4 linked regions of the Alligator mississippiensis genome follow. The protein of the gene in region 1 binds, or shares a complex with, the protein of each later gene. Links are inferred from orthologs where the notes say so. Each region holds a gene or a part of one and is shown in the gene's direction. Other genes may lie near its edges. The genes, in order: INTS6, INTS9, INTS12 and INTS4.

What was found.
Region 2: INTS6 (region 1) and INTS9 share a complex: the UniProt entries of both Homo sapiens proteins name them as parts of the integrator complex. The link is inferred for Alligator mississippiensis from reciprocal best matches to the Homo sapiens genes INTS6 and INTS9.
Region 3: INTS6 (region 1) and INTS12 share a complex: the UniProt entries of both Homo sapiens proteins name them as parts of the integrator complex. The link is inferred for Alligator mississippiensis from reciprocal best matches to the Homo sapiens genes INTS6 and INTS12.
Region 4: INTS6 (region 1) and INTS4 share a complex: the UniProt entries of both Homo sapiens proteins name them as parts of the integrator complex. The link is inferred for Alligator mississippiensis from reciprocal best matches to the Homo sapiens genes INTS6 and INTS4.

What each region holds. Positions count from the first base shown.
Region 1 is NC_081824.1:416,203,286-416,211,152, reverse strand, and holds the start of INTS6 (integrator complex subunit 6), read left to right. Parts: upstream 1-4,741; 5' UTR 4,742-4,890; coding exon 4,891-5,001; intron 5,002-5,085; coding exon 5,086-5,163; intron 5,164-5,264; exon of another isoform or gene 5,265-5,344; intron 5,345-5,642; coding exon 5,643-5,792; intron 5,793-7,867. UniProt on the Homo sapiens protein: Component of the integrator complex, a multiprotein complex that terminates RNA polymerase II (Pol II) transcription in the promoter-proximal region of genes.
Region 2 is NC_081824.1:6,034,443-6,042,905, reverse strand, and holds the start of INTS9 (integrator complex subunit 9), read left to right. Parts: upstream 1-5,023; 5' UTR 5,024-5,078; coding exon 5,079-5,087; intron 5,088-8,463. Other genes in the region: HMBOX1 (homeobox-containing protein 1), read right to left, coding at 4,755-4,795. UniProt on the Homo sapiens protein: Component of the integrator complex, a multiprotein complex that terminates RNA polymerase II (Pol II) transcription in the promoter-proximal region of genes.
Region 3 is NC_081825.1:131,326,287-131,333,926, forward strand, and holds the start of INTS12 (integrator complex subunit 12), read left to right. Parts: upstream 1-4,367; 5' UTR 4,368-4,451; intron 4,452-7,640. UniProt on the Homo sapiens protein: Component of the integrator complex, a multiprotein complex that terminates RNA polymerase II (Pol II) transcription in the promoter-proximal region of genes.
Region 4 is NC_081824.1:465,164,505-465,172,640, forward strand, and holds the start of INTS4 (integrator complex subunit 4), read left to right. Parts: upstream 1-4,671; 5' UTR 4,672-4,761; coding exon 4,762-4,815; intron 4,816-4,894; coding exon 4,895-5,086; intron 5,087-8,136. UniProt on the Homo sapiens protein: Component of the integrator complex, a multiprotein complex that terminates RNA polymerase II (Pol II) transcription in the promoter-proximal region of genes.

The sequences.
Region 1 (7,867 bases):
ATATTCTTGTCCTGATTTATATGTGCTTGCATAGCTCAAAATACGGTCCTACTGGGCAGTAAGAGAGTGTATGTGGAAGGATGTGGTTGGGGAGTGGGGTGTGAAGTATGTGTTTGAGGTGGTGGCTGTGGGGCTATGGTGGGTGGGGTGGGAGGGACAGAGACAGGGCTGGGCTCCCAGCTCCATTGTGTGCAGCTCTCATGGACAGCACTTGAGCCTCATGCAATACAGCCAGGCAGACCCTGTGCCCAGGCTCTGTGCTCCTGCCACCCCACCCTGGGTCCATGCCAGCCCCAAGGCACTGGCACAGGCTCCGTGCCACTGCCCGCCACTCCCCTGCTTTCCCTCCCACTTGCCTGCCTGCCACTGTTCCAACCACTTCCCAGCTGTTGCTGCTCCTGCTACTTCTCCCGCCCATCTTGACTCCCTGCCTGCTGCCACAGCTTTCCATCCTCTGCCATTTCCTGCCTGCTGGCTGCTCTTGCTCCAGCCTGCCCTGGTCAGCACCACATGGTTTCCAGACTGCGTTGGCTGATTGCAGCGGTCGTTACCCCCCACTCCCCCCCATCCAAGTGGAAAGTTAGATAAGATTGGATGGAGGGAGGGCAGGGAACATCTAAAGGGTCACCAGGCCAGAAGCCACAAAGACTTCCGGTTGGGGGCTGGGGTGGAGTCTGGGGGCAGGGTGGAGCTGGGCCAGCCTTACTGCTCAGCTGCTGGGTTCCGCCACCAGTTGCCCCTGGGCCCTGCTGCCTTATCTTCAACAGGCAGCCACACAGTTAATACATTTTCTATGTTTTTTTTTAGGGGCGCTGTAGACTAAATCTAGCCTGTAGGCTGTATTTTGCCCACTCCTGGCTTAGGGTGTTTATAGATTTTATTTTTTTTAGGGTCAGAAAGGACCTATTAGATCATGGAGTCCAACCCCCTGCCCTGAGGGGTAAATGGATTCTAAATGTGTTCTAAATGGATGCATCATAACTAGGAGCAATAGGATGAACAAAGGCAAACTTAAGCAGAGTATTCGCAAGATCTACTTCACTGCTGATTTAGTCTTCTAAGGGAATCTGCGAATCCCATCACTTGTATCATTTAAAACTGAGCTGAACAAAATACTGAAAGATTTTCATGGAACAATATTGGACTGAGGGGAGAATAAAAGTTCTAGTTCCATGATCTATATAAATGTCTTCCACACAGCGTCCTCTAGTCAAGCCTGAAGTTTATGACAAAAGATCTGACAGCATATTATGTTATATAAGATTATCATCACATCCAACTATCAAACAGGAGGAACAGAAAACTGAAGTAAAATTTATTCAATAATAGCAAGTGTTACAAAAGTATTACATCTTGTTTATATTTTCAGTTTTAAATCTACTTATTTCAAAACGGTGTCTCTGTACATGTAGTGTTTAATGTTAAAGCCAGATTTGCAATTTTGAATGAGTTCCACACTAGTTTTTAAAGGGACACCACTCATTTTGAAGCACAGAGTGAGCAAAATAGTTTCAGGTGCTACCCCTGCTGCTGAGTTCCCATGCTGCATTTTGTGAACTAAAAAGATTCCTTGGTATTTATGTGGCTTTTCATACAGCAACCAGGAAAACTTACTACGAAGAACTCATGAAAAGCTTATGTATAAAATGAATACATTAAAAAAAAACAACCAAAACCCTTTCTTATCCTTCAGTGACAATACTCTTAGGCATTGCTTGTCACAATTGTGAGAGAGCATATTTCAGATAGACTGTTCCTTTAAATTTTAAATAAAACAACTGATTACGGGGAACTGTCATTCTGAGTATAAATATACCTATAATGTAACAAAGCTGAGAAGCCCAAAAAAGTGGCATCCATTTTCAGTCGTTAAAACTCAAGGAAACTTCTATGCTCAGATATGGCTACTATAGCACTAATGAACATGACCACTAAGGTCGCTATTTTCTGCTCTGCTCCTCTGTATATCCTTTTGCACAGGGAGATATTTATAAATATCACTTGGATGCTGCTGCTAGACACTAGGATTCTTGCATCACAAGCTGGCTGCTGTCACACCTTCTTGCGAAATGCTTTAAACAAATTACTTTTCACTTGCTCAGTTTTTCTTAAACAATAATCAAAATAGCCAGCTTGCAATATAAAAGCACAAATGCCTAGCATAGGCAGTACAAAGGCATCCTTGATTCTGTATCTACAAGTGACCTAATATGGGAAGGCAAAAAATACTAGTATTACATGAAGACGGGACTGTGCCAGCTGCCTGCAGTGATTCCAGCAGCCAGCTTCAAAGTCACAGTGGGTATGTATGTTTCTTAAGCATGTCTCTGGATATTGCTGTAGATGCCCAGGTTCCGTGCATGCAATACCAGATTCTTTCAGCCAGCAACGTCCACTGGGCCTAAACCCTGGAAGGCAAAATGACTCCTACTGTCTAAGCTCCATCTTGCCACCCACAGCAGTGAAACAGAACAGCTCTTACCTTTAGATTTCAGATTAGTGTTAGAGTTAGGCAATTATTTGATCTTCTGGCTTCCTAGCTCATTGATAAGGACTGTTCTTCATGTAATACACTGGAACGATAGGCATTTAAACTGCCCTCTCCCGTCTTTTGCCCCGGAGAATACCATATTTCTATATGCTATCTGTAGATTTTTCTCACAGCTCACGCAGAAAGCTTGAGATACCCGAGTGAAGTCACTTCTATTACACTGCTATGGACTACTTACATAAAACAAGACCGTTGACTTGTTTTATGAAGGTCACTTTGACTATCTGTAGCCTTTAAAGATGGGTCTAGGGAACAAGCTACTTGAAAAGGGCATCGGATTGAACTAGGATTCCCTATGAACAAAGTAAAATAGTTCTTCAGTTATAGCAGCCATCTAGGCCCAAATCAACCTCCTTGGCATGTCTGAGGAATGTCCCTATCACAATTTTACAAGATAGCCAGTTATAGCAGAGTATGCAGTTTTATTTCATGTCACTCCCTAGTTGCTGCTATGAGCCCTGATTTGTACAGCATTCCTATAGCCTTAATTCAAGGTTGATCCCTGTCACCCCCTTCCCTCCCACCACAGGGAGATAACTGCCAGCCACTCACCTCCAGCAAGATTCACGCAGTCCTCTCTCAGAGGAAACAGTTACTTATAGTAGGGCAATGGCCCATCAAGAAGACAGTTAAGTCACATGGAACCCTAGAAACCACCTCCTTCACTGCTAAACATGGACCCTTTCTAGGCAAGGTCCAGTGTCAGCCAGGGGTACAGGAAGCAACCGGGGGCTTGTTTTCACCTTTTAAAGGCCTTTGGAGTCATCTTGCTGGGCGGATCACAAATGCAGCACCTAACACAGCGCTGGCAAGAGGGATCTGCTTATACCTACCAGTACAGCAACAACGGGTGCAAGAAGTTCTGCCTCTGCTCCCCTGAAATTAGCCCTAAACCCCAGCCTCGCATTTATCTGGCCCCAAATAAAGCACGTTGGACCAAAGGTAGGCCTTGGTGTGCAGGGGTGGGGACACAGAACAAGGCCAGGGCACTGCTGATTCCTTGTCTGAGGCAGCCAAGTGGCTCAGTGGGGATGATGGGGGAGATCAGAACCAGCACCATTTTTGGCACAAGAGGGGAAGTCAGCTCGGGTAGGAAACAGCAGTCCCTGCGCACACCCCGAGCGGGGAGACAATGCCTGTGCCCCGAGAGCAGATCGCACGGAGCCGCCCAATGCCGAGGCGCAGCCCCGGCGCAGGGGCCTCAAACTCATCCAGGCGAGCGGCTCGGCGGAGCCCGAAGGTCGCCCCGGGCCGCCCCCACGGGCAGCAGCGCACGTGGGTCCCGTGGCCCCCACCCCCACGCAGCACCGGCCGGGCTGGGGCGGCGCCGTGACACGGCCCCGGGAGGGGGGGGGAGGAGATGCCACGTGTCCGGGCGCTGCACGTGGGGCGGGCCCGCGCCTCCCCCAGGCTAGCGCCGCGGCTCCGCAACCCGCAACCGCGCTGAGGGAAGGGCGGCCAGGCCGCCTCCGCCCGCACACATCCCGCCCCGCCGCCTCGGGGCTACCGCCGCCACCTCCGCCTCAGGGCTGCCGCCGCCGCCGCCGCCGCGGGCGAAGCAACCGCCCGGGAGGAAGGTCCCGCCCCGCCCTGCCCAGTCGTAGGGGCTGAGTTGTGGGGAGGCCACGGCCGCGAGGCTCTACAGAACGCAGCTCCCAAGTCGGCCGGGCCCGCCCCAAGACCCTCCGGCAGGACCTGCCCATAGCCCGTGACTCACCCGCGCGGGTGAAGGAGCGGGGTCCCCGCCCCGTCCTCCCCCGGCCCCTTTTCTCGCGCCCCTCCCCCCAGCGCAGGAGCGAGCGGCCACAGTGCACATGCGCCCCCGTCAGGCCTTGGCGCGTGCTCGCCGCCAACCGCCGTTCCCCCGCCCCCCCCGGCGATTTGAATATGCTAATGAGAGCTCGGCGGGAGCCCTATGGCGCGGCGGGCAGGTCATCACGTGTCGCAGGGACGTGTCCTGCGGGGGCGGTGCCCGACCTGCCCAGGCTGCCTTAAAAGGGGGAGTCGAGCGAGGAAGCGCCTCAGTCAGAGACAGAAAGTGCTGGGGTGGGGGGTGCGCGCGGCAGCTCCACCCAAAACTTTGAGTTACATCCACGGGGGGGAGGGAGCGGCGGCCGCAGCAGCAGCCGGGCAGCCCCCGCCCGCTGCGCCTCACCCCCCGCGCGGCCGGGCCGGGCCGGGCCGAGCGGGCCCGCACACAAAGGCGGCCCGGGCCGGGCTACCCCGCGGCGGGAGCGCCCCGTGCACAGCACTCACTGCCCCGCATCCGCCCCGCGCCGCCCCCGGCCCCCGCCCTGTCCATGTAGCGCCCGCCGCGGGCGCCGCCGCCGCTCCGCACTATGCCCATCTTACTCTTCCTGATAGACACGTCCGCCTCCATGAACCAGCGCACCCATCTGGGCACCACCTATCTGGACGTAGCCAAAGGCGCGGTAGAGACTTTCATGAAGGTACCGGGCGGGGAGCGAAGGGGCGCGGGCGGGGCGGCGCGGGGCCGGCTCGGGGTAACCGTGCGCTTTGTCCCCCCCCCGCAGCTCCGCGCCCGGGACCCCGCAAGCCGCGGGGACAGGTACATGCTGGTCACTTTCGAGGAGCCTCCCTACGCCATCAAGGTAAAGCCCCATCGAGCGTGCGGCGCTCCGCCCCCTTCCCCTCCCCCACCCCACCCCCTCGCCCGCCCCGCCCCCCGCCCGGCGCCGGGGCCGGGGCGGCCGCGCTGGTGTCCGGCCGCGGCGGCGCTGACATCAACATGGCCGCCATGTTGGCGGCGCGGGACGCGAGCCGCAAGGCACTGTGGGTGATCCGGCGCGAGTTGCGAGAAGTGACAGCGACTCGCTCGCTCCGGGCCTGGCTGGGGGGGGGCTCTCCTCACCTCTCCTCCCCTCCCTGCGCCCCCTCCCATCTCTTTCACCCTGCTGCCACCCCCGGGGTAGGGTGGGGGCAGTGCCCTCTTGGCACCTCGCAGGGTGCCCTGGGAAGCACTCGCCTTGTCCCCAGAGGGACCCCCTCCTGTGGGAGCCTGTGTGGGGAAGGGCAATCCCAGCCCCCCACTATCCTGGGATAAGCCCCTCTCTTGCCTTTCTCTTTTCAGGCCGGATGGAAAGAAAACCACGCAACGTTTATGAGCGAGCTGAAAAACCTGCAGGCTGAAGGACTGACAACTCTTGGCCAGTCCCTCAGGACCGCTTTTGATTTATTAAACTTAAATAGATTAGTAACTGGCATAGACAACTATGGGCAGGTAGGTTGACGGTTAATAGGGGGAACACCTAAAGGAAAAACCCTCAAAAAACCAACCCTGGAGCTTTCACAAAACCATACAGGATTCATTGACAAAAATGATCTTCCTTCATGACACTGCAGTTGAAAGTGTTTGGGGCTACTTTGAAAGAACCATTCAGCCATCAGAGCAGCCCCAAGCAGGACGTAGTTTTTACCCAACTTCAGTTTGGTTTTTCCTTAATAGTTGTAAATATTTCTTCACCTTTTGAACACTAACATACCTTTTGAAGTTGTCATTTTTTTTTTTTTCCAGTTACCATGACTGTCAGTTTTCTTTTACATTTATCAGGAGCCAGGTAATTAAAACCTTTGTTTCAGGTCAGCAGCTGATTTGCCACCAGGCTCATGAAAGGAGGAAGCGTCTTCATGTACAGTGCTGTGCCATCAGTAGGGTTGCGCTTTGGGAGTTTAGCTTTTTTCTGAAGTGTTATTGCTGCAGCAGTCACAAATATTAGGCTAATTGGAGCAGAGACTTAATCTTGCGTGTCAGATTTTGTCGTCTTTCTTAGCATATTCCTTCACTTCTGTTGTACACCACCAGATCATTCAGTTTCTGACCCCTATATAAGAACCACAAGAAGCTCTACGTGCACTATTATGATGTATTGGAGCACAATACAATGTTCCTTCTCTCACAAGTTGAGCACGTGCTGTGGGAAGTGTTCAATTCCTGTTTAGCCTAGAACATAAGGAATTAGGAACATGAAGCAAACCATAGGTTTGTTTAGTATAGTAGTGAGTAGCAAACCTGATCATTTGAGAAGGCATATTAATTGTATATTTTGTACTTGAGACATGTTATCTCACATTTCCTCTCCTGGTTTCCTCTTGTGATGTAACCCTCCCTCTAATGGCAAAGAAATGGTTGCTGCTTCTTGTTGGTCAACTGGAGTTACTCAAGTGACATCAGGTGCTTTACAGAGGAATTCTAAATCTGAATATACAGTCTCCTCTTCAGTGTCATGTTCCTCTTGCCTAGGAGGGGCATTTAGACTTCTCATGTTGCATTACTACTAGATGAAAGTCACCCTCAATATTTTTTTGAATGTAGATAGATTAGTGAAACTTTGAAATGCACTACTTTCCCATACAGAGCTACTTTTTTAAATCTATTAACGTATGTGCATGTTCACCTTTTTTTCTTCTTCCCTGAATTCTTGTGTCAGTTGAATTAGGTCAGGGGTGTCAAAGATATTGCCCTCAAGGTAGATATGGCCTGTGGTGTTGCCCATGGAGAGTGGCCCCACATGTTTCATACAGCGTGTGCTGAATTGGATCCATGCACTGCATGTGGGGCTGGCCCGCACTGCATGTAGCATGTGGGGTTGGTCCAGGGTGTGCTGCATACAGTGCCTGCACCATTGTGGAACTGATCTGTGGGCCCTGTCTGGCCTGTAGGATGACACCATACCAGTTATCTGGCCTGTGAACTGGCCCTGTTCCAGTTCATCTGGCCCATGGGGCTCAATGAGTTTGATACCTCTGGCTTAGTCTCATGATGTTGTCACAAAAAAATTGCTATCCCAGGCATAAAACACTAGAAGCCGACTTTGTACTATGGATGTTGATGAAAACTGATGATGCTCACATTAAGTTACTTATCCTGAGTGAGCCAGCCAGTTTAGGGTTTCTTTTTTTCATTCAGATGGGCGGGTGAATTGATGTTCCCATTGGCTGGTTGTTGTTATGAAGCAGTGCTTGATAATATGAAGTTGTTTTCATCTGAGGTGGATCAGACCTGTCTGTAGTTCCTTGATTGCAAGTCTTTCCAAGCTTGCTTATTTTACAAACTTCATCAACTGCTGCAACCTCTTCCATTTGTTGCAGTTGGGGAAAGGTTTCTGGGATATACATGTTTGTGTATGTGATTAAACAAATGTTTCCTAAATTTAAGCATCCTTTGCGCGTGTGCACACGTGTGTGCACATATACGCCTATATACATAGATGGCAAAGGATGCTTAAACTTAGGAAAGGTTTGTTTAATCACTAATATATATATGTTTGGCAAATGCTACATCCTGGACTGCCAAGG
Region 2 (8,463 bases), about 410 Mb from region 1:
CAATTCCCAGCTCCGCCACAAACTCCATGCCTCACAGTGGACAAGCTGCTCTTTGTGCCTCAGTCTGCAGTCTGTAAAATGGGAAAAATGCATTGATTTTTTTTTTTAAAGGTTCTTTCATGTTTACTCAAACCTCCAAACTGTTAACACTTTACCTGCAGTAACTTCAAGCACGTGAGGAATCCCATTGATTTCAATAAGACCACTTGCATTTCTCAAAGTTAAACGTGTATATCAGCATTTGCAGAATCAAAAAGAAATGCAAAAACTCTAGACCTCTTGATTCAGAGATGATACCACATATTAAACCAACTAAAAAATTGCAAAAAAAATATCTTTTTTCTGCAAGCTTTTGGGCACACACACCCTTCCTCAGGCTCAGGGAAAATTAAAGGTGGTAAAAAGTCCCCATTGGTAGAAAATAAACTTTCTTTGCAGAATCAAGGCCTTTTACTATCATTTTTCAGGTCTCTAACTAGGTGCATAACACAGTGCCTAGTCTTGATATCTCCTGGGTTACTGCACTCGTTTATACAGGGGCAATGAATTACAGTTTCCAGCTCTTGACTGAATACTCCATTACCAAATCAACTTAAGAGGCATATAGTTTAAAAGACCCTCTCCCCCCCCCCCCCACAAAAATCAACCAAAAACCTTGTCAGTAATATGACACTTATGTGAACACACAAGGTAATACCATCAGGACATGTATAAACTAAAGGCCCAATCCCACAAGGAGTTGTAGGTGGTTACCAGAGCCAGCGTGAAGCTGCATTAAAATCAATGTAAAGTGACATTGACTGCACTGACTATAAAAGCATCCCAGCTGGGAGCAGCCCAGACAACAAACAAACTGCATTAAGTTATCTGTAAGACAGGTAAAGTTATCTGTTCTGCTGCAATAAGATTTTTACGCTGACAGCATTTTTTAACCTGATTGACTCCAAATCCTGAAGTTCCCTGAAGGTGAAGAACATGCCCATAAACTGCTCTGATCCTGCATTCAAAACCCTATGAGCGCTGCACAGAAAGGACTACACTCAGGAATCTCTCATGCAACCAGTAGCTGTTAGCATAAAAGGCAATCTTCAAAAATCCCTGTTTATGGAAGGGAGGCATCAGCATGCTTTAAGTTAAACTGTTTCTTGCATCAGAATAATATTCATTCCCCCAGCTCCCACCACACACACTTATCTAGAGTCTTCCCCACTCCCCAGAACTGCACACTGAAGGTCCAGACTGCATAAGGCACACACTGGCTAAAGTGTTAGCAGAACAAGTGCATTTCACTACAGAAACTTGAATTTCTTTAGTCCCAGGGTTTCCTTAGCTCCCGAAACAAAGGCAGAGAACAATTCAAACTCCTCCCTGAACTTACGCATATGCCACTTCATTATCATGACAAAATGAGTGCATCAGGGAACACTTGGGATTTCATTTTCCAAGCACTGCTCAGACATTTGCTGGCCCCACCTCTCTGAAGGAGAGCAGAAGAAATCCTTGCATGACAGACATGGAAACAGGCATAGGGTAAACTTCTCTGAGCAGGAAGGGTCCATGTCCACTCTGCAGAGCATCTAGCACAACGGGAGCTCGTTACCAGGTGGCCATGTAGGCACAAACTATTATAGTTGTGCTTGTACAACGGAATATGCTTTCAAGACTGAAGCAACTTGCCAAAATTAGTGGGAGAAAGAGGAATGTCTCAGCTACCTAGGATTTTCTGAGAATTTCCCACCAATTCTCTGGCAACATTGCAGTTTCATGCCCAGGAAGAATGCCTGGCAGCCCACATGCTACAATGTCGTCTAGACCTGCTCTGAACGGAGGTAGATGACACAGGATTAAAAATGCTGATGGCTGACTGCTAGCAACAGTGCTAACAGAATGGGAGGAAGATTAAGAGAACAGGCACAGCAGAGTTAAACACCACGTCCTTGTTCCTGATCCCATGCTCAGCCCGCTAGACAATTCTGTCTGTACAGAAAGCTGTGCCTGACTCAGGGTTAAAGACGAAGAACTTGTGTGTCAGAAGGGGACACGGCATCCCCAGATGCAAGCATTTCACTTTAGTTTGAGCAGAATTGTCCCACCTCAGAGAACCCAGAGCTCTGAGGACACAGAGACAGCAGATAATTTTCACAACCAGAAATATAAATCTGCCTGAAGCTAAAAAAGTTCAAAATATCAGTACATGTAATGTACTGCTCCCCACCCCACACACCTTCTGCCCTCTCCCCACCCCACACACCTTCTGCCTCCCTACCTTCTCCTTAAGGATTTGGAGCTGAAAGAGCAGAAGGAGAGTCAAGACGCACACAAATAAACAAAGTTTACGGTCTGCTGTTGCAGGACCATACCCCAGCATGATCTTACAGCGACTAAAGAAAAGTCTTCAGAGTTATATATCCACATACACCCACTCCCCTCTCACCAGCATCCCTGTGAGCCTGGCCTAATGTTAGATAAATAAAGAGAAAGGCAGTTCCTACTAATGAGGCAGGGTACGGCAAGGCCAAAGAAAATGCAATCATCTCAGGGGGGAAAAAAAAAACAAAAAAAAAAAAAACTGCACTGGGCTCCTCCTCTCCCATCTATGGAGGAAATCAGATGCCAGCTGCACCATCCGAGGAAGGAAGCAGAGAGAGGCTCTTGCACCTGATGAGCCCTGCAGAAATGAGTTAGCTATATCACAGGACCCAGACAGCCACTCCAGGATTTTGCAAGCCCAAAAGTTGTCTGCTTAGCACAAACCGTTTATATGACAATTTTATTTTCTGGGGTGTCAAACCATGCAAATGTCATCCCTTTCACTGGGTCCTTCTCCACTATCCCCTCTGGCCTCTGGGGCACTCGGCCAGTGCCCATCAGACTCGCTGTTCTCACATCACGACTCTGCCCATCAGTTTAACACTTCCTTCCCCAGGTTAAAACCCACAGCTTTCAGTTGGTATAGATTTTGCACTTCCCTCGATGCCACAAAAAACTCCAGAAGCAACCAAAATATACCCGACTTCAGCGACTTGGAAATATCACCCCCGCACAAGCAAGCTTCCCCCCGCCAAAAAAAGGCATCCTCCCCCTCCCCCATGTGAAGGGGGTTGGGGAAAGCATCACCCACCGCCAAAGGGCCAGAAGCCAGAGAGAAACGGAGCTGCTGCAGAAACTGTTTCCAAAGAAATGCCCTGCAGATGGATTCAGCGACACTTCTAACTGCCACTTCCCACCAATAAACCCACCGGCCAACACAGAGGGGGCAAAAAGCTCTGCCGGGCTCCTGCGTTTCGCAGTTCCTGAAGGAAGACGCGACTCCCAGCCGGTATTATTCTAACTCCGCGGCAAAGCCAAAAAAGCATAGGGCCAGGATAAAAAAAGAAAAAAAAAAAAAAAAAAAGAGCAGCCATGCGGCATTTTCCTCCCTCCCACCGCCCCCAGCAGCAGCAGCCACTCTTCCCTAGGGCAGTTTCAGGGCCCCACACATCCCAGATGTGCAGGGAGAAGAGATTTCCCAAGCCCCAGCCTCTCCCTAAAATACCAAGTCATGAGGATATGAAGGCAAACATCCCCCCACCCTCCGCCCAATGTCTCCTCATGCTCCACATGTGGGGAAGGGATTTCTCCTTCTCCCAGCCCCAGTCTCCCCCTGAAAAACAAAGTCATGAGCGTACGAAGGCAGACGCTGCCCCCCTCACCCCTCTCCAACCTGGACATAGAGAAGGAGGGAGTTTCACCCTCTTCCCAGCCCCAACCTCCCCCTGAAATACGAGGGGACGCTGCCCCCCCGTTTCTCCTCACACCCAGCATCCCGGACGCGCACCAGCCTTGCCCTACACCCCACGTCCCGGGCACGTGAAGTGATTTCACCCCCCGCCACCTCTCCTCACACCCGAAGTCCCGGACACAGGAAGGGATTTCACCCCTCCAGCCTCTCCTCACACCCAGCATCCCGGACACGCGCCAGGAAGGGATTTCACCACCCGCCCCAGCCTCTCCTCACACCCCATGTCCCAGACCCACAAAGGGACTTAACCCCCCCCCCACAAGTCCCAAACCCATGAAGGGATTTAAACCCCCCCCCCCAGTCCCAAACCCATGATGGCATTTAAACGCCCCCCACAAGTCCCAAACCCATGAAGGGATTTAACCCCCCCCCCCCAGTCCCAAACCCATGATGGCATTTAAACGCCCCGCACAAGTCCCAAACCCATGAAGGGATTTAACGCCCCCCCCCCCCAGGCCCAGACCCACGAAGGGATTTAACCCCTGCCCCCCCAATTCCCAGACCCACGAAGGCATTTAACCCCCCCCATCCCAGACCCACAAAGGGATTTAACCCCCCCCTCCCAAGTCCCAAACCCAAGAAGGGATTTAACCCCCACCCCCCCAATCCCAGACCCATGAAGGGATTTGCCCCCCCAACCTTTCCTCACACCCCAAGCCCCAGACACAACCACGTAGGGGCTTCACCCCCCAGCCCCCCCCCCCAAAAAAAAATTTACAAAGTAACAAGGAGACACACACAGACCCCCCCCCGCACACACGCACGCACACACACACACACACACACACATACACACACACGCACGCAGAGTGAAGGGTTGCGACCCCCAACCCCAGACACACGAGGGGATCCCCACCACATACAGTGAAGGGGTGCCACCCCCTCAGCCCCCCCGAAATACGAAGTGAGGAGGATACACAGGCAACCCCTCCCTCCCCCTCACACCCCCTTTCAGGGCTCACCCCAGACGGACCGTCTTTGTCTGCCTGACGAGCGCCATGTTGATATCAACATCCGAGCGCCCACCTGCCGCCGCGCCGCGGCCCTGGGACTTGTAGTTCGCCGCTCCCCAGGGCGGCGGACGGCGGGCGGCCCGCGGACTGCAACTCCCGGCGTGCCCCGCGGCCCGCCAATCAGGGAGCGCGGCCGGCCGACTACAGCTCCCGGCATGCCTCCCGGGCATGACCTCATCCGCCGGCTGAGGAGGCGGGGAGGGACTACAGGTCCCAGCGTGCCCCGCGCGCTGGGAGGGGGAAGAGGCAGGGCAGGAAGGGGCAGGGGGGAAGAGGCCGGCAGCATGAAGCTGGTGAGTGGGGCGGTGCAGGCCGGGGGGGGGCTCTCTTGTCCTTCCCCCTCCTGTGTCCTGGGGAGCCTCAGCCTTGGCCCCTGCTCCCCCTCCCCACCTTGCTGGAGGGCCCCGTCCTGCACATGGGGAAACTGAGGCACAGGAGGGGCCTAGGCTGGGGGTTCATGCCTGTATTAAGGCCCCAAACAGGCTTGTGTGCACCGGGGGGGCGGGGGAGGAGCGTGGCCGTTTTGGGGGAGGGGTATATGGGGGCTGGGGTGGCACTGGGGTGGTTTGGGGGGATGGTGGAGGGGTATTTTGGGGCTCGGGTGGTTTTTTGAGGGAAAGGGGTGTTTGGAGGCTGGGGTGGTTTTGGGGGATGGTGGAAGGGTATCTTGAGGCTGGGGTGGCACTGAAGTAGTTTGTTGGGGTGGCCCTGGGGGCAATTTTGGGGGATAGTAGAGGGGCATCTTGGGGCTGGGGTGGCACTGGGGGCAGTTTTTGGGGGTGGTGGAGGGGTATCTTGGGACCGGTTTGACACTGGGTGAAGTTCTTGGGTGGCAGTGGAGGGGCATTTCATCTGGGGTGGCGCTGGGGGCAGTTTGGGGGGATGATGTAGGGGCATCTTGGGTCTGGGGGGGCAGTTTAGGAGGGAAGTGTTGGAGGTGCATCTTGGGCAGGGAGCTGGGGCTGCGGAGGGCACGGCAGGTTGGTGAGCGTCTCTGCTCAGTGCTGGGAGCAGCTGAGCATCGATTTCCACCTGAGTTTACAGGGCACTAGAGAAACTTATGGGGAGGAAAGCTCTGATATAACACTGTCTAGTCAGATAACCCAGTCCTGATCGCCCTCCTCTTTGTAACCGCTCTTCTTTTGCAGTAGATAACTCTGTTCAGATATGCCCAGGGCTGTCGTAAAGCAGACGGCCATCAACTGTTGTCTTTGTTTACAGGACAAGAAGTAATGGCCTCTGACGTGCAACACAGGAGATATAGGTTAGATGTTAGGAAGAACTTTCTAACTGCGAGGCTGGTTGAGCACTGGAAGAGGTGACCTGAAAAGGCTGCAAAACCTCTGGTGCTGGAAAGTGGGGTTTTTTTGGTTTTTTTTTTAAATGCATGTTAGACAATTTTAGAGGTTGATTCTCAACCTTGTTAGACATGGGGCACCCCTCAGAAAATGCCTGGAGGCTGCAAGTGAGAGGAAGAGTGGGAAAAATCCCTTATCATGCCTTGTTCACTCTCCCTTTCAGCATCTGCTCTCTGCTGCCCCATGACACAAGAGCCTGGGCAATTGGACCTATGATGTCATTCTGTAAATGGCAGTTTTGTTGTTCACACATTTTTAACTATGGAAAAATCATAGAGCGGGTTTTTTGATGCAAAGAACTCAGAAAGATCATAACAGATCTAAATGTGTTTAACCCAAGGATTCCTATTTGAAATTTCTAGGTTCATCAGAGGGTGGTTTTGATTTAAATACAGTTGTTTTAAATCAAGAACCCTCAATTTTAATCATTATTTTCTACAAAAAGTGCATTCTTGATGTTTGATATAACCTTCATTAAAATATTCCCAACCTGGGTCTCTTTTATGGCTTGGCCAGCCTGCTGCCATGATAGGTTTTCCCTTCTACCATATCATTCCCTCGCTAGATCTCAAATTAGTGAAGAAGCTATACTCAGAAACTTATTCCTCAAGACTTTTGGAATATTCTGCTAAAAATGTTTCTTTTGTTTCTATTGCCATCCCGTCCTTGCATTATGTCTAGACTCTTCCTCCTTGCCCAGATCTACTCCACCCCCAACAATCCTTTATTCATTTAACTTTTTGAAACTTTGCACTTTTAGAGTGGGGCAAAAGCTTGACTCTGCATACACAAACTTGCCGAGACAAGAGGGCTGATCCGTAGGTAATTGGGTCGGTTCTCTCTCATCTCTGTGTACTGCTGTTAACAGGGGTGTTACCTCTGGAGAGACAAATCCACAGTCTGAGAACTGAAACTAAACATCACAGAGATGCTTAATGGGATTTTCTAGACTGAGCACTGAGTTCCACTGGGTAGAATAGTTTTCTTTAATCCTTACTAATCATTGGAGAATCCTTTGGGAACCCCATAAGATTGGACCCTAATATAGTCTATGGCCTGTTTTGACCTATTTATAAAGCTTCTCTAAAAAGGTTACATGAATATATTGTTTCAAATAGTATATAATTAGAAGTTATAATCCCTATTCCATGATGATATCTTTGAGCTCTAACATATCTTAAGTTTAAACTATTTTTATGTAGGTTTATTTTTTAAAAATCGTAAGAAAAAAATCGATATGATTCAATCAGAAAAATCTGATTTAAATAAAAAAATTCAACTTTTAATTAAAAAAAATCATTGATTTTTGTCCACCCTGGTTCATCATGTGAATCATGTTTGTACACCTAACAGTGCTAGTGTTGTGTGCCCCCCCGATAGGATTTCAAGGCACCCCTTGAAATCACCCCTTGGGTCACTGGTTTAGAGGATCCTGCTTTGAGCAGAGGATTCATTTAGAAGACCTCTTAAGGTGCCTTCCATTTCAATTATTTTAGTTATCATTCTTTGTAGCCACTTTACCAAGTTTTCCTCCCTCCGGCTCGGACTGTCATGTCCCAGCGTACAGGGACAATCTGTAGCTTTTCTTTTCCTCAGGCAAAGAAAGGTTGGGCTGACTTCCACAGGTGTTGAGTACCTTTGTCTGAGGAAGGTGTAGATGGCATAGGTTGGCACTCAGTACAGTAAAATCTCTGCTATCTGACATTTAACTAGCCAGAATACTCTGTTAACTGGAATTTCTGGCCGGCCGGACGCAGGGGAAAGCTCGCACACGGCAGCTGCCACGGCCGCTCCGCGTGGGCTGCCCTGCACTGCCATTGCTCTGCTGTGCCGAGCTTTGCTCCGCGCTGAACCCTGCTGCTGTTGCTGCTCCACATGTAACTGCTGCCACCTCCCCACTCCACATCTGGCTGCCGCCACCCCCACCTGCCCCGGCTCTGCGTCTGGCCAGCAACCTCCGTACTTCAGGTAACCGGTATTTTTAGATTTCTGGCACCCCCTGTTCTCTGCTCATGCCAGATAATGAGGCCTTTACTGTACTTCTTAAAAATACCTGCATAACCTAAGGAGCTTATCCAGTGCACGCACTCCTTTGACGGCAGAGCCTGGAGTAGAGTTACCAGTTTAATTTCAGAGAAATATAATAATAGGCAACTGTCCATCCTCTGGATCATGTTGTATTCATGTAAGAGGTCTATGATCATCACACCAAGGCCTTCAATGCATATTCCTAAGTGAGAGTATGGGGGCTGCCCAAAGCCTGCCATCCCCACTTTAGACCGTTGAGACAGAATCCAAAGGCCAGACCGAG
Region 3 (7,640 bases), on another chromosome or scaffold:
CAGGGACCAGGTCATCCCCCTCACCAGGATCCCTGATGGTCCCAGGGGAGTCACAGCCAGGCCCACGGTCAGAGAGGAACTAGTCAGGGAACTTCTGGTGGGACTGGACACGTTCAAATCAGCAGGTACTGATGACCTCCACCCCAGAGTGCTGAGGGAATTAGCAGAGGTCATTGTGGGACCCTTGGCACAGCTTTACGAGCACTCGTGGTGCTCTGGCCAGGTGCCAGAGGACTGGAAAAGGGACAATGTGGTCCCCATTTTCAAAAAAGGGAGGAAGGAAGACCCAGGAAATTATAGGCCTGTTAGTCTTACCTTGGTCCTGGGGAAGCTCTTTGAGAAAATTATCCAGGTGCACATCTGCAAGGGACAAGCAGGGGAGTGTATGTTTAGGGGCAACCAGCATGGGTTCATTAGAGGCAGGTCCTGTCAGACCGACCTGGTGGCCTTCCATGACCAGGTCACAAAATCCTTGGATGCAGGTGTCACGGTGGACATAGTCTTTCTGGACTTTAGGAAGGCATTCCACACTGTCTCTCACCCCATTCTTGTTAAAAAATTAGGAGATTGTGGTGTCAATGCCTACACAGTCAGATGGGTCGCCAATTTGCTGGAGGGCTGCACCCAGAGAGTGGTGGTGGATGGGTCATTTTTGACCTGGAGGGATGTCGGCAGTGGGGTCCCCCAGGGCTCGGTCCTCGGGTCTGTACTGTTCAACATCTTCATCAGAGACTTGGACGAGGGGGTGAAAAGCACCTTGTTCAAATTCACAGATGACACTAAGATGTGGGGAGAAGTGGGAACGCTAGAAGGGAAGAATAGGCTGCAATTGGATCTGGACAGGTTACAGGAGTGGGTGGATGAGAATAAGATGGGATTCAATACTGACAAGTGCAGGGTGCTGCGCCTAGAGAGAAAGAACCAGCAGCATACCTAGAGGCTGGAGAACTCCCTTCTCGTCACCACAGAGGCAGAAAAGGATCTTGGAGTCATTATAGACTCCAAGATGAACATGGGCCGCCAATGTGGGGACGCAGTCAGGAAGGCTAATCACACCTTGCATCCACAGATGCATCATGAGCAGGTCCAAGGAGGTGATCCTCCCCCTCTATATGACATTGGTCAGGCTGTAGTTGTAGTACTGCGCCTAGTTCTGGGCACCGCACTTCAGGAGGGATGTGGACAACATCAAGAGGGTCCAGAGGAGGGCCACTTGCATGATCAGGGGGCAGCAAGGCAGGCCCTACAAGGAGAGGCTACGAGACCTGAACCTGTTCAGCCTCCACAAGAGAAGGCTGAGAGGGCATCTGGTGGCTGTCTATGAACTGGCCAAGGGAGACCGGCAGGCAATGGGAGAGTCCCTGTTCCCCCGAGCACTACTGAGAGTAACAAGGAATAATGGCCATAAGTTGACAGAGAGTAGATTCAGGCTAGATATCAGGAGGCACTACTTCACAGTCAGGGCGGCTAGGATCTGGAACCAACTTCCAAGGGAAGTGGTGCTCACTTCTATCCTGGGGGTCTTCAAAAGGAGGCTGGATAGACACCTTGCCGGGGTTGTCTGACCCCAGCATTCTTTCATGCCCATGGCAGGGGGTCAGACTTGATAATCTGCTTAGGTCCCTTCCGACCCTACCAACTATGAAACTATGACATCGTGTCCTTACTAATCTCACCAAACCACATCTTGACTTTACAGAGCGTGCAGGTAGAAGGAAATGAGAGTCCAGCTGACAGGGTTTACGGCTTTACTGGCTCCCCTGGTATGTCACATTCTCAGCTATGACATCTCCCAGGTAAGGCCTCTGGGTTCTTCTTCCCCAGACTAGTCCCTGCCCTTTGATGCATCTAGCCTAGCCTCTAGAGCCCTAATGGAACCTCTAGCCTCTATTTTGGGCCTGTGAGGCCTCCTCCTGTTTTCCTAACGCTTATCCTAGTCAGTTTTCCTGGGTTTCCATTCTTCCTGGTCCAGCCAGAGCCTTCTGCTTCCCCTGCTGCTAAGCCCTTCCTTTATACTGCTCTTAAAGATGTGGCCTCCACCCTGGTTCCTCTTTAGAGGGCCCTTTCCCTTCTTCCCTATAATGGGGACTGAAGCGGAAGAGACCAGTGGCAACAGTTCTAGATGCTGCCTTTGTAGAGTGGGGCATAAAATAGCCACAACCGCAGCAAGAGCTGCCATGATCATCACCACAACAGCCAATGGTGCCCTGGGCATGGAGTTGCCCTGCTACACTCCTGCTGTCCCATTATACAAACCATCGTGCTTTCCACTCTGCTTGTAGCTTATATTTTGTAGCTTATATTTTCCCACTTCCCTATCAAATTACTTCTCTTGTCCATTCAAACTGCAGACTCCTTGGGGCAGGACAGACATTTACTTATTTCAGCTGGAGCCTCAAGCTGCTTCTGTAATACAATAATGAGCAACATCATCTGCTATACTGAATAGGTTAAAGACCAGATCTCAGAAACAAATTTACCCATGGTATGAATGCCACTTTTGTTAACTAAAACTCAAAAAACAAAAATAACTTCACAGTTATCGTGTTTGTTTGCTTTTCAGTATTTCCCAGGACATGGAGTAAATGCCAATTAAATCACCTTCACTGCACAGCAGTGTTTGGGTTGTGGGACAGACCTATGCATCTTTGTTCAAAGAACAGATGTTTCCCAAGAAAGTTAATTTTTTTTTAAAAGATGGAAACATTTTGGTCCTAATTTCTGAATAAGGCTTTGATCATAGATGGACTTTGTGTTGGGCAGAGTCTTGGGCATCTTTGATAACAATATTTCTTTCAATTTAACATGTGCCAGGACAATTAGGTTTTTAAAAAATGGAACGTCTGCTCCAACAAATAGGCAGAGCAGTACAAAACAGTACCCGTGCGTTTAGGACATGCAGCTCAAGTGACCTAAGCTATATTTCCACCAATTTACTGTGCGACAACAAACTAAATGCTTAACTTCTGTGCCTCAGCTTCCCCATTAACAGAGAAAAATTAGTCAGAAGGTTCTATATAACTTCATATGAAGTTCTTTTGAGAGATTCAGATGAAGAATGCCAGAAACTGAATTAAAAACCAGGCTTTGGTGCCCAAACTATTTGAATGGACCCCTTTCAACCAACCCTGACAGTTCGCAAAGGGCAGCAGAAGAACGGGGTGAGGGTCTAGCGGAAAGGGCTACCAGGCTTGAGACATTGCTTATTCTGCAGAGAGCAGCGTTGCCAGGTCTTAAACATGAAATTATCCTGTCGGAAGCTCAAAATTATTGCATTTGCTGAAAAACTATTGTACACTGAAAAAATATGCAAATAAGTATGCAAATGTTTATTTACTTTATACTGCTTCCTGTAACTTGCCAGGGAGTGAGTGAGAACAGAGTCAAAGTTGAAACATCTCCTTGTTTTGAAGCAAGCAGTCATAAGAATGGGTTGACCAAAAATCATTTCTCAGCCTTTTGAATCAAATCAAGTATGATGGGGGCATCCAAACCCCAAGACCTCTGAGCTTGCTTGGACCTACACGTAGGATACCTGCCAATGGGTTTGGGAGCATCTTAAGTCCCAGAGTAATTGGTCTGGGAAGGAGGATGTTCACCAGTTGTAGCACCATACACAGCATTCAGAATGATTGAGTCCTGCCTGGTCCATCGATAAGGCTTTTGGACCGATTGAGCTCTGCTCAACCAATATGATTCGGAACTGATTTGGGTGCTTTGACCTAGAACATGAAATATATTGAATTAAAAAAAGCAAAACAAAATAAAGTCAGTTAAGGCTCCCTGAAAGTGACCTGGGTTTTGCATCCGCTGCGCCAAAGACCTGCCTCAAAAATTGCGCTATGCTTTGAGCACTTCTCCTATTATTATCCTACGAGGGTTGACGTTATGGTACAATTCGGATGGCTCTCGTACACCCGGCCACCCTGGCAGAGAGAAACAGGCCGGGGGGACAAGGGAAGGCGGCAAAATGACGGTGGGCAGGCGCGGCGCAGCCCGAGGCGCCAGGAGCCCGAGGGGTGCACCCGGGGCCGCGGAGACCCCACCGCCAGCCCCGCCCGGGGCCCAAACCAGCACTGCCCACCCCCCGCCCGGCGCGCCCGGATTGGCCCCGCAACGCACACGCGTCACAGGCCCCCCATTGTGATGCAGCCCCTTTCCCCAGGGGGGAGCTGGTGCCCCTTCCCAGCCCAGTCAAGAGCTGGGGGCTCCAACCTAGGTCAGCACCCCCCCGGAAGCATGTGACTCCCCCACCTCGGAACCACGTGACCGCCGGCCCCGCTCCCCGCAGCCGCTCACCCGTGGCGCAGCTCCGGCCCCCGCGCGGCGCTGACGTCACAGCGGCCCCGCCCCTTCCTGCGGCGCGCGCTGCCGGGCGGAACCCGCGGGCGCAGCGCGCGGCGCCGGGGGGACCGCGAGCTGGACGGACTGGCCGGCCGGCGCGGCCAGGGGTAAGCGATCTGGGCTGCAAATAGCACGTGTGCAGGGCCGATTTGGGATCCCTCCCCACCCCCCTCCTCCTAGCAAGCCGATGCAGTGCTTGCAGCACCTGCTGTAGCCGGCCCGAGGCAGGTGTCGCATGCAGCACGGGTCCTAGAGCGGAGCAGTGCAGTGCAGTCCCGCACCAGCCACAGTGGCACCGGCACCGGCTGCGGGGCAGGGGCCTGTGGGTCCCGCCACCTGCCAGATCCAGGACCTGTGCTGCACGCGGGGGCTGGATCTGACACGCCTGGCTGGGGGGGAGGGGCAGTCCCTGGACCCGATCCAGCCTGTGGACCAGTCCCGTGTCACTCATCTGGTGCACGGGGCCAGCTCACTTTGTCACCCCTGCCTTACAGTAAGCATTAGCCAGGGATTCATTTCTGTTTGCTTTTCTGGGCAGTGAACCAGATAGGGCTTTTCCATCTCTAATGGTTCAGGTTCTTGAGCCTCACCTGAATTACCAGACCCCTTTTCACCTGTTCGTTTTTCCTTTGAAGATGCATTTTGGGCAGTCAAACCTGAGCTAAATGCAAGCATGTTACTGGGTTAACAGTATGTTAGGGTCAAGCTGAAAGATATGGCTCTGTGAAGAGCTGCTCTTTATTTGCGGTAGTGCTGGGTACGTGAGTGACTGGCACCTCCTGAATTTGGGGGGGTGCCTGCATAAGCCACCACGGTGGCAGCCCTGTCGGGGGGCACCAACCTTACCAACAGCATCAGTGTCTGCTGTCAGGGGGGGCTCGTGCTCCTCTGTGCACCCTCTACCTGTGGCTATGTCGCCTATGGCTGGGTATATGTAAGTTTAGTCTAAGAAGAGAAGTATAAGTCTATAAGGGGGGGGCACATTAGGATCCGGGAGAACTGTTGTTCACCAGGGCCCCCCAAGGGATAACTAGGTATAATGGCCACAAACTCCTGGAAGGCCGATTTAGACTGGACATAAAAAAAAAAAAAACTTTACAGTCCGTGTGCCCAGGGTCTGGAACAGACTCCCCCCAGAGCTGGTTGGTGCAAGCACCTACTGTGGACTCATTCAAAAGGCGCCTGGATGCTTATCTTGCTGGAATCATTTGATCCCTGCAGACTTCCTGCCTCTGGCAGGGGGGCTGGACTCAATGATTTCATGAAATCCCTTCCAGCCCCTAATGTCTATGAAATCTATGAAGAGAGGACACAAACCAAGCAATAAGTAGCCCAGAGACAGACAAACAGCAGGTAGGAGGAAATGAACCAACAGATTCACAATACATGTGCACAGTGCACACACATGTACCTGTACCTGTCTGCGTGCATATATATGTGTATGTGCACTTGTATGTATATCTGCACGTGTGTGTATATAGGGCAGGTCAGTTGTTCCCAAGTTACAAGACAGTCTTTAAATTAAAGTTAATGTGCTGGAAGACTTTCATCACTTTTAACCTTTTTACTTTATTTCAAGCAACAGCTTATCTATTAAGTGAGGAAAGGGTGGGGAGAGTAAAGAAAGACTGTAACCAGTTAAACCAGAATTCTCCAAATGCTGGCTGGATCTAGCACCCAGTCCAGGCAGGGCCTTCCCAAATAAAAGATCTGAGGTGGCTCTCTGTCTACTAACTCTTTTGCTAATTAGCCCAGTGCATTGCCAGGCAAACGTGACTGCCCTCAGTCTCTGTAACTCTGCAACATGCCTTGGAAGTACAGGGGAGGGAGGCTGTGGAGTTATACAAGGGGTTGGAGGAAGTGGACTCTGGGGCTGTAGTGCCAGGCCTGGGGTGGGAATAATTGGTGGGCTGTGTATCTCTGCAAGATACTCTGAGAAAAGCAGGCTATTGGACTGCATGTGGTGCTGGAGCATAAGTGGTCTGTGGGATTGCATATTAGAGGTCTGTGGAGAATCATGGAGTGTTCAGGCTAGTGAACAGATGTTAGACATGGAGGAACAATGGATGTTGGGACTATGGGACCATTCTAGGAGTGCATCGATAAAAAATTTGGGGGCCTTTACAGATGGCCAATTATTAACCAGTTATATCGGTTGATACCGATCTGATTGCCAATATGCAGCCTGGCAGTTTGGAGAGCAGCATCCAGCCAGTAAGTCTGTTGTGGGGAAGGAGCGTAGGGGAGGCAGATTGAGGCCCCTGCAGTGAGGCAGGGGCTGGGGTAGGCGCTGCACAGCCGGGACGGAGTTGCAGCTGGTCCAGGGGAGGGGGAAGCAGCTCCTGCCTCTGCACGCACCCCTGGGGCAAGCGTGGGGGGCACATGCCCCCCCTGGATCTGTGTGTGGGGTAAGGGTGGGCTGCGCACTTAGGGCCAGGGCTGTGCCAACCTCTTCCTGGCAGGGGCTGGGACAGGGCAGACGACGGCACTGGGAGGGGTGGCTATGGCAAATTTTGGGGTAGCTATAGTCCCCCCATAATCCCCCCCCCCCCGGCACCACTGCCACCCGCCCCAGCAGGAGCGCCCCCCCCCCCATACCCCTTGGATGAGCCACAGCTCTGTCCCACACTCCACCCCATCCTGGCTGGGCAGCAACTGCCCCAGCCCCACTCCCTCCGTCACCGCGGGGGCCTCAGTCTGCCCCTCACCACCATGCCCCTTCCTCCCCACAGATTTATTGACCAGATGCTGCTTTCCAAGCTTCTGGGCTGCACTCCTGGCCATATGCATTCTACAGCTGCTCACATGCATGTGACACTTATCAGCGACATTATCAGGCACATTAGCCAAAAAAAGCCAATTGCCAATAATGTCAATTTTCCTTTTATCAGTGCCGATACAATATGGACCAATGCATCAATGCATCTCTAGACAGTTCATATGTAGCATCCTTTGTGTGTGGAGGCAGTGGCTAAGGCTAGAAGATATGGGGCAGTTTAGGAGAAGAGCACTACTACCTACTGATAAAAAAGATGAACTCCTGGTACAGGGCAGAGCCCCATGGCTTCTGCATTGGATCATGGTGTCACATTAGCAGGGCAGTGCAGGAAGGAGATCATCTCTCTTCCCTTCCCTTCCATTTGTGGTTGCAGTTTTGGACTAGCTCAACTCAGAATGCCCCCTGAGTAAATTGCCACAATATCATCCAGGTTGTCAAGAATGAAACCAATAACTGGTAACTCAAACTGATGAACTAAACTCACTCAGGCAGTACATTCATGTCTGGCTTCCCTAAG
Region 4 (8,136 bases), about 49 Mb from region 1:
CAGGGAGGATAATAGGCAGCTCCACCTCCAGACACGAGGTTGCATTTCCAGGGTGGCAGGGGCATGGGGATCATCTTTGTAGAGCAGCCCATCAGATCTGGCAGTGTCAGTGGGACGGAATAAATGCAGGACACCAAGTCCTTAGTTTGATTATAACTTCACTCTGAAGGTCCTTTAGATTAGTTATACATATTCAGATGAAAGTCATATGAGCACATGCAACTCCCATTGAACCTCCTGGGAGCTGTGCTCATTCTTGCCATGGTTATATTTGGTCCTCCACTGAGAAGTTAAATGCTGTAGCACAGTGGCTTTTAGCCTGTGCTCTGTGGCCACCTGGGGGTCCACAGACTATGTCTAAGGGGTCCATGAAAGATGACTATGATCAATCAAAAGCAGGTGAATAGCCACAGTTATAATTCAAAGGGATCTGCACCTCCATTCAATTTTTTTTTAGGGGTCTGCAAATGAAAAAAGGTTGAAAACCACTGCTGTAGTACAGTTTGCCCAGCAGGCTGGATGGGCAGTGCCTGGTCTGTCCACGGGCTGGATGCCAGTCTGACGCACAAGTCAGATGTGGCCCCATCCAGGTGTGGGGAGCGGGATGGGGCAGCCCGACCTTGATCCAGCCATGTGACATAAGGGGGTTAGCCAGGTCCCAGCGAGGCCCCCCAGGGTGGGGAAGAAGCATAGCATAGCCCCATGAGGGGAAGAGGGTATGGCCTGGCCCCCTTTCAGCCATGATTCGGGTATGCAGGGGAAGGGGGTTTGGTCTGGCAGAGGGCATGGCTCAGCCCCACAAGAAGGGTGTATGGCCCAGCTCCAACCCACTGCACGGGACTTGGGAATCTAACATCAGGGGAGGGTGGTGGTATTAATCATCACTGCTCCCCACCACTGCCAAATTCCTGTGCCATGGCTCTGCAAGCTGCATGTGTCTTGTAGGCTGGAGGTTGAGCACCCATGCCTTTGCATAGTGTTTGTCATCCTTTTCCATACCAGGATCCCACATTAAAAAAGAGAATCATCAGGGCCCTCTCTCACCATAAAGAAAGATGTTATGCTGTCCAGGCTGACAAGCTATTCCTAAGCAAATATAATTATGTTTATTTTCATGTATTGTCTTGCAGTAGGGCCATAGAGCCCCAGTTCTGGACAAGGACCTCAGTGTGCTATGTACTGTACAAACACAGAACAAAAACTGTTTGTCATTTAAGAGGAACATGCACTCCTCTTGAGTGCAGCTGTGTTTAGCTGCTTTTCTTGCGACATCTGTTAATGTCGTCACGTTGCAAATGAATGCGGGCTTTCGAGCTGTAAGAAAAATCCACAATGATTTTGGAAAGGAGTGCTCCTAAAACAAAACTCAGTGGAGAATTTTTGCCTGAGCAGGGGCGCAGGATTAGATCTCATACACTGTTTTGAAAAATTCTTAAGATTCAGAAGTTTATTTTGTATTTATTTTTCTACTTGAGGCCACAGTTGGTGATTTTAAGGAAATGGAAAGCTGCAGGGGGGCCTGGAAAATTAGACTGGCCATTCGAGTTTGTGGGTATGTTTACTCTAACTCTGAGAATATGGGTTGCCCCAAGGGCAACGTGTATTACAGGTTGCTAAATAAATATATGTTTAAAAGCCTCTTTGTACAAATTAGATGGGCCTTCTTTATTCATCTGTTCTCCTTGTACACTACAGGTTTAAAAAAGTAAAATACAGTATAGAAGGACTGACTGCTGGTGCAGGTATTCCAGGAGTGTGAATAAGGAATAACTCCACTTGAGCCAATGCAGTTATACTGTGGACAACAGGAATAAGTGTGAGGAAGGTTAGTGCCATAATATTTAGAAGCTTAAGCAAGAAGTTAACTTTTTAGGAGGTGTCTAAAAAGGTTTAGAAAGAGGAAATGTTAAAAGGATCTGGTTAGCTTAGTCTAAAAAGAGCAGACTGAAGTTTATTCTAAAGGGGATGGTGGTGAATTACTCTCTGTGTCTTTTAAGCATAGAAGTTGTCATCTACTTGATTTGCAGCAGTGGCCATCCAGATTAGCTCTTAAGAAAAGACTTGCTAACTATAAGAATAGTTAAGCACTGGAACAAGTTACCTAGGGGGCTGTGTCTAGTTTTTAGGAACAGGTTAGCCAGACAGCTGTCAGGGAGAGCCTAGGTACATCTTGGGGAGGTTCCTACTTCACAGCAGGATGATGGAGCATATGACATCCTGAAGACCCTTTCTGCCCTGTATTTCTATGATTTCTTTTAATGTATGAATTTTGGTGTCCAACTTGAGACACCTTTAAGCAGAGTGACTATATCTTTCTTGTCTCGAAATGGGACACTGCTTCCCACCTCCTCCCCTCTCAGTTGTTTCTGAGTTCCTGTTTCAGCTGAGTGTGGGGGGAAGGATGCCGAGTGCTGGAACTGGGGAGGAGGGAGGGGGAAACAGCTCTGTGTTCATCAGCACTCACTATCCCTGGTGACTTCTGAAAATCCTGGCCCTGACCCTCAATGTCCTGAGCATGCAACATTCCCAATTAGTGCTAAGGTCCGTTGCTCTAAGGTCCAGAGCTCTAAGCTCAGATCCTAGGTACATTGAAATAAAAGTCTCCCTTGACTTCAAGGGAAAAGAACCTGGTCCTGTGGTTCACTGAGCTCATTCTGCTTTCAAGGCAGTCAACCACAGGTGAGGGAGCTCAGCATTTCATAGGATGTCACAGAGGGGACTATCAGGAGGATGTATGTCAAGCTCAGGGCTGTGCAAAATGGTCAGATGCAAACCCAAAAGCTGAGTTCTTGGTCTTGTTACTAACACGAAAGATGCCTCAAGTTTAGAAAGACACGTCTCAAGCATGGAATTTAAGTGGTGCTGGTGGTGATATTATTGTTAGACATTATAGATCGAAGTCCCGTATCCCTTACAGACATGATTGGGTCTTGCAGCAGTAATGCATTTGTCCCAATATCTTCTCTATGAGTCTATGTGACTGACTGGTATTTTGAGAAACTATCCTTTCAAATCCAAACACCCAAGTGTGAGGGAAATGGGTTTCAAATCTACACACAGCTCCAGAGTCAAAACTGGTATTTGGCCTCTCTCTTTGGAAAACAGAAAGTTTAAAACCTGGGTTCCCTTTATAATTTTGGTATTTATAAAATCCTGTCTTATGGAGGGACTGCCCAGCCTCCCTGTGAAACTGAAGATAGTTTCCCAGGGAAGGGTCTTCTTAATTTCACCAAAAACCAAATAAACTGTCCTGGAATTTCCCAACGCATCTTAGAACAGACATTTTTTTGGAGAGTTTGGGTTGCTTCTGCACAGCTTCAAACCTTTCCTGAAAATAGAGAACACAAGCCAAACAACCAACCACAACCAATAAACAACAGGCAATGAAGTATTTCTTCATGTACATCTGAGTGCTGCTTGAACCATCACGCATGAATCAGGCCGGGAAACCTTCGGCAAAACAGCTTCACCCTTATGTACCCAGCCTCCAGCCCAACCCCTGCTGCAGCACACTCATCGAGCTTGCAGACCAAATCCTCCCATTTGAAAAGAGGTTGGGATTTTTCCCTATTTAAAGAGACATCAGGATCAGGACCTGATGCCCCCTGCCTGCAATCAAAGGCACACTGCCAGTGACATCGGGTTGTCCAAGCCTTAGGGGAAACTGTAAATAATTGGCACGAAGCGAGACCTTCTTCTATATATTTTACCTGTGCCTTTAGACCACGTTCTGAGCACACGTGCAGGTATTGATCAGGGCACAGTGCTGAACCAGCCAACAAGAACAATGGCAACAGGAACTGATCCTCCCGCCTCCCTGAATTGAGCAGCAACAGCCCTCCCCTGGCAACCCCACGCAGGCAAAAGCATACACAAGTAAGTCAGGCCTTGCAAGAAATGAAGTGGGGGCTCTAGGACCCACAGAGCAGCGTCTTGATTAGGATGCACTGAGCTGTAAATTCAGTGTACGTGAGGAGATGCAGAAACAGGGATGTGTTTGTGGTGCTCGATACACCCCCCTCCTCACACTGGGGAAGTGAAAAGTGAGGAGCCAGCCCCCAAATTATACTGATTTACTAAGAAAGAGGCATATCTCCTGCCACGCCTGGATGCTGCTTGTTAAAGCTCGGCCAACTGCAGCTAAAGGGAGGTGTGGGTCTCTCTCCAGTGTCTGGTGAATTCGTGCCTGCCAAGGACCACGCGCTCCATCCTTGTGGACAGCCACGGCTGTGAGCGCAGAGCGTGCCAGGCAGGGCTCGAATGACACTTGGACCCTTGCGGGGGAGCCTGCAAACAAAATTAAACCAGTTCATTGATGAACAAATCCAGCTCAGCGAAGGAGCAATCTGCTCGGAGACCCCCCCCTCCCTAGGTTATAATTTCCAAATCTTATATCTCTTATGGGGAGCCCCCCCACCCCCAAGCTCCCCCTTCATTTGCACCCTAGTGCCACGCACAGGGTGCCTCAGTGGTGCACCCCACGCGTGCAGCAGCCAGGCCAGTGGCAGCATTAGCATGACCCCCTGCCCCTGCACCAGGCTGCAAAGGCAGCTCCTGACTCAGGGATCTGCATTTCTCAAAGGGGACAGCCTGGCTCCCACAGCAAGCCCCGCCCCCTTCGTGGACCATTGAGAGGAAGACCTCCGCGGTCCTAGAGAGGCCCGTCTCGTTTCCTCTGTGTGCTGCGGGACGCTGAGAGAGACAAGCCGGCTACGGTGGCGGCGGCGGCTCAAGCCGCGCAGGTGAAAGGTGGCGCCCAAGATGGCGGCGCACCTGAAGAAGCGGGTGTACGAGGAGTTCACCAAAGTGGTGCAGGTAACGGCCGGGGAAGGGACGGGAAGGGAAGGGAAGGGGGGGGGTCCGCCCGCCCGCACTAACAGCCCTCCGCCCGCAGCAGCACGAGGAGCCGGCGGCCAAGAAGCTGCGCCTGGCCAAGCCCAGCAAGTCGGCGGCGCTGCACGTGGACCTGTGCAAGGCCGCCTCGGCCGCCGACGCGCTGCAGCACCTGCTGCACTTCGCCCGCCAGCCTGTGGAGGCCGAGAGCGTCGAGGGCGTCGTCCGCATCCTGCTAGAGCACTACTACAAGGTGGGCCGGGCTGCGGCTCCGCCATCCGCTCCCTGCCCTCTCTCTCTGTCTGTCCCTCCCCACCATGCTGCGTGTCCCTTCCTGATCTGCCACGTGCCACATGCAGGCTGCCCGTGCCACTAGCATGACGCCTGCCACAGGTTAGCATATAACTACGCAAGAGTCTGATGAGCTTGTATAGAGGTGCTTGGCTGTGTTAGTCTGAATCAGGCTTTAGGTAAGGCAGGCTTCAAACATGGAGGCTCACTGGTTTGGAGAAGCACCAGCTTTCACAGGCAGCAGCTTCATCAGATGTGAGGAGCGTCCATTCCTTATGTTTGATGAAATAGCTTGTCACCTGCAAAAGATTGTCTCTCTGAACCAGTTAGCCTCCAAGGTGCCAGCCTTCCTTATTCACTGCCCATCCCCTGTATGAATTGTACTGCAGCTTTTACAACCTTGGTGTTTTTGTTGTCTGTTTCAGCAGACAGGCGAAGGAGTTAGCACATATTCTGCATATGCGCTATCTCCTTCAGGGTCAGGCTTTAGTTATTGGGGTAGCTTGGTGTGAGAGAAGCTAGAAAGTGATTGCTGTATCTGGTTTGTGAACAGGCAGATTCTTACTCTAGGCTGCCGATCTAGTCTCTGTCATCATCACCCTTCAAGTTAAGTTTTATTAAAAAACAAGAGAAATAACACATTTTGCTGTCAAGATGGTGGTCTTCTCCTTGGTCGTCCTTCAGCTTTGTCTTGCGAATCATAGCCTTATTGTAAATAATGGGTCTTTATTGCAAGCTGAAGCTTTGTTTCTGCAGATCCTTATAACAGTTTCGTTTTAAATCAGTCATTCACTTGCCCTGTTGAAGAAGTCATGAGGGAAGTTTCAGTTTCAGCCCAGGAATCTGCTGTCTGGCTGGAAAGAAAATATTTTGTAGGTGAGAGGTTTAGAGCGAACTCTGTTTTTTAACCCCGTGAATCCTGTTCTGTTTAAACAAATGATGTGGAGGCTCCTTATAGCCGTTCTTACTCGCTTTACAAGATGTTGGATCAGCTACACATGTTTCCCTCGCTTATGGTGTACATGAGTTCTTGGAAAACAGCACATAACTTGAATTTGCATAAAGGGGACCGACCTACTTTACAATGTAACAAATAGGGATACTTCCAAGAGCTCAACTGTACTGCCCCCCAGACCCACTTCTGCCACTCTTACAAGATAACTTTGGTATTCACCAACAGCAGACAGTACACACAAGCACAGCTGTGGCTCCAGAAGCACGGGCACCAGCTGCCAGGGCTCTGCGCTGATGGGACTGGACTAGGTCAGGCTGTAGGGGCTGGTGCTGTAGCCTGACCCAGGCACCACCACCCGGCTCAGTCCCCCCCAATTTTTTCTTCCTCTGTCTATGGCATCACTCCCACAATGCTCCGCACAAAGCAACTGACTGCAGGCCTCCACTACACTGATTGCATACAAGTGAATTTATCTTGCATATAATAAAGGTTTGGTATAAAAAGAGTCATTGCATAAGAGCGATTTCACACATACAGAACCTGCATAAAGCAAGGGAAACCTGTACTAGTTCTTTTCCAAATATGAATTTACAATGTTCTTAGAAAAAAGAAAACCCCACAATGTAGGGAACCTAATATATCAAGGCCCTGACCCTAAGAAGGTGTTGGAACATTTTGCCTGTAACATGATTTTCTCTCTTTTTTGTGATCTTGAGTAGGAACAGTTGAATGAAACTGTCTAGGTAGCATGCTTATTATTCGTTAGAATATGGTCAACCTTTTGGCCCTGTGGGCTGGGTGAGTAGCATGAAGCCAGTCCGCGGGCCAGATCTGTGCAGAGTCAGTGTCTAGATTGTGCCCTGTGTGGCCATTGCAGAACCATGCTATCCAGTCTGCTGGGCTCCCCATGGGTCTGGAAACTTGGCAGCAGGGGAGCAGCAATTAAGGTTGCCCAGTTCCCCTCCCACCATGAAGAGTCCTACAGACTGGATGATATGGCTGCTCAGGCCAGATTTGGCCCGCAGGCTAGAGATTGAGCACTGTTTGTATTTCAGGGGACTTATCTAGGGTTCAGATGCATATCATCTTGTTGGGAGCCGTTGTACAATCAGAAGGTAGATGAAATTCTGCGTAGATAAGGACAAGTGAGCCAGTGTTGGAAGGAACAGTTTTAAATCCGCACATGAGGCCAGTATTTCCAGTACTGAGCCTCTGCAATAGGGGCCAGTTTTCGACATGCACTAACTCTGGTTATGGTGCTCCTGGTCAGACTTTTTAAAGAGCCTGGCATCCAGCCTGCTGAACTCCTCTGAAAACATGGCCACTCACTTGGTGCCTAAATGGGGTGAGAGCTGTGCTGTTTTGAAAATATAACCTTTGAGGACTCTCCGTTTTAACTAGAACAGTCTAGACAACCTTTTCCCAGCTCTTTCACTTCACCAGGAAGAGGGGCTACAAGTCACTTCTGTACTGGTCCATGAGGTGATCGCTGGGCCTAGAGGGTAGGGTAGGTTTCCCTGGCTTTTCTGGGAGTAAAGGAAAATCAATTCAAAAGTCTTTTAAATTAAAAAAAATAAAATAAAATCACAATTCTCATTTATGAAACATTGTCAAAAACATTGGAAATGGTTCATGTTCACCATTATCTAAATTGTGGGTGCTCAGTCTCCAGCTGATGGATCAGATGTGGCCCATGGAGCCATTGCATCTGGCCTGCAGGGCTCCTAACATGTTGGTAAATTTGGTGGTGGGGGAGCAGTGGCTATTAATACAGCTACCCACCCCTGCTGCCAAAGTCCCAAGCTCTGTGCAGCAGGTTGGAACCAGGCCATGCCCCCTTCTTCCTGCCCACCCGCAGGGTCAGGTTGTGGCCCAATCGTGGTCTGGCCCCACCCATGCAGGCTGGGTTTTTTATAGCCCTGCCCCCATTTTTGCACAGCCATGCCCCCTTTTTTCCCTGTGGAGTCAAGCTGCCCCTCACCCCTGTCCATGTGGCTGGATGGGTGCCTGCTGCACCTGCCCTGGGCAGGCAGGACTACCAGTCACATCTGACCTGT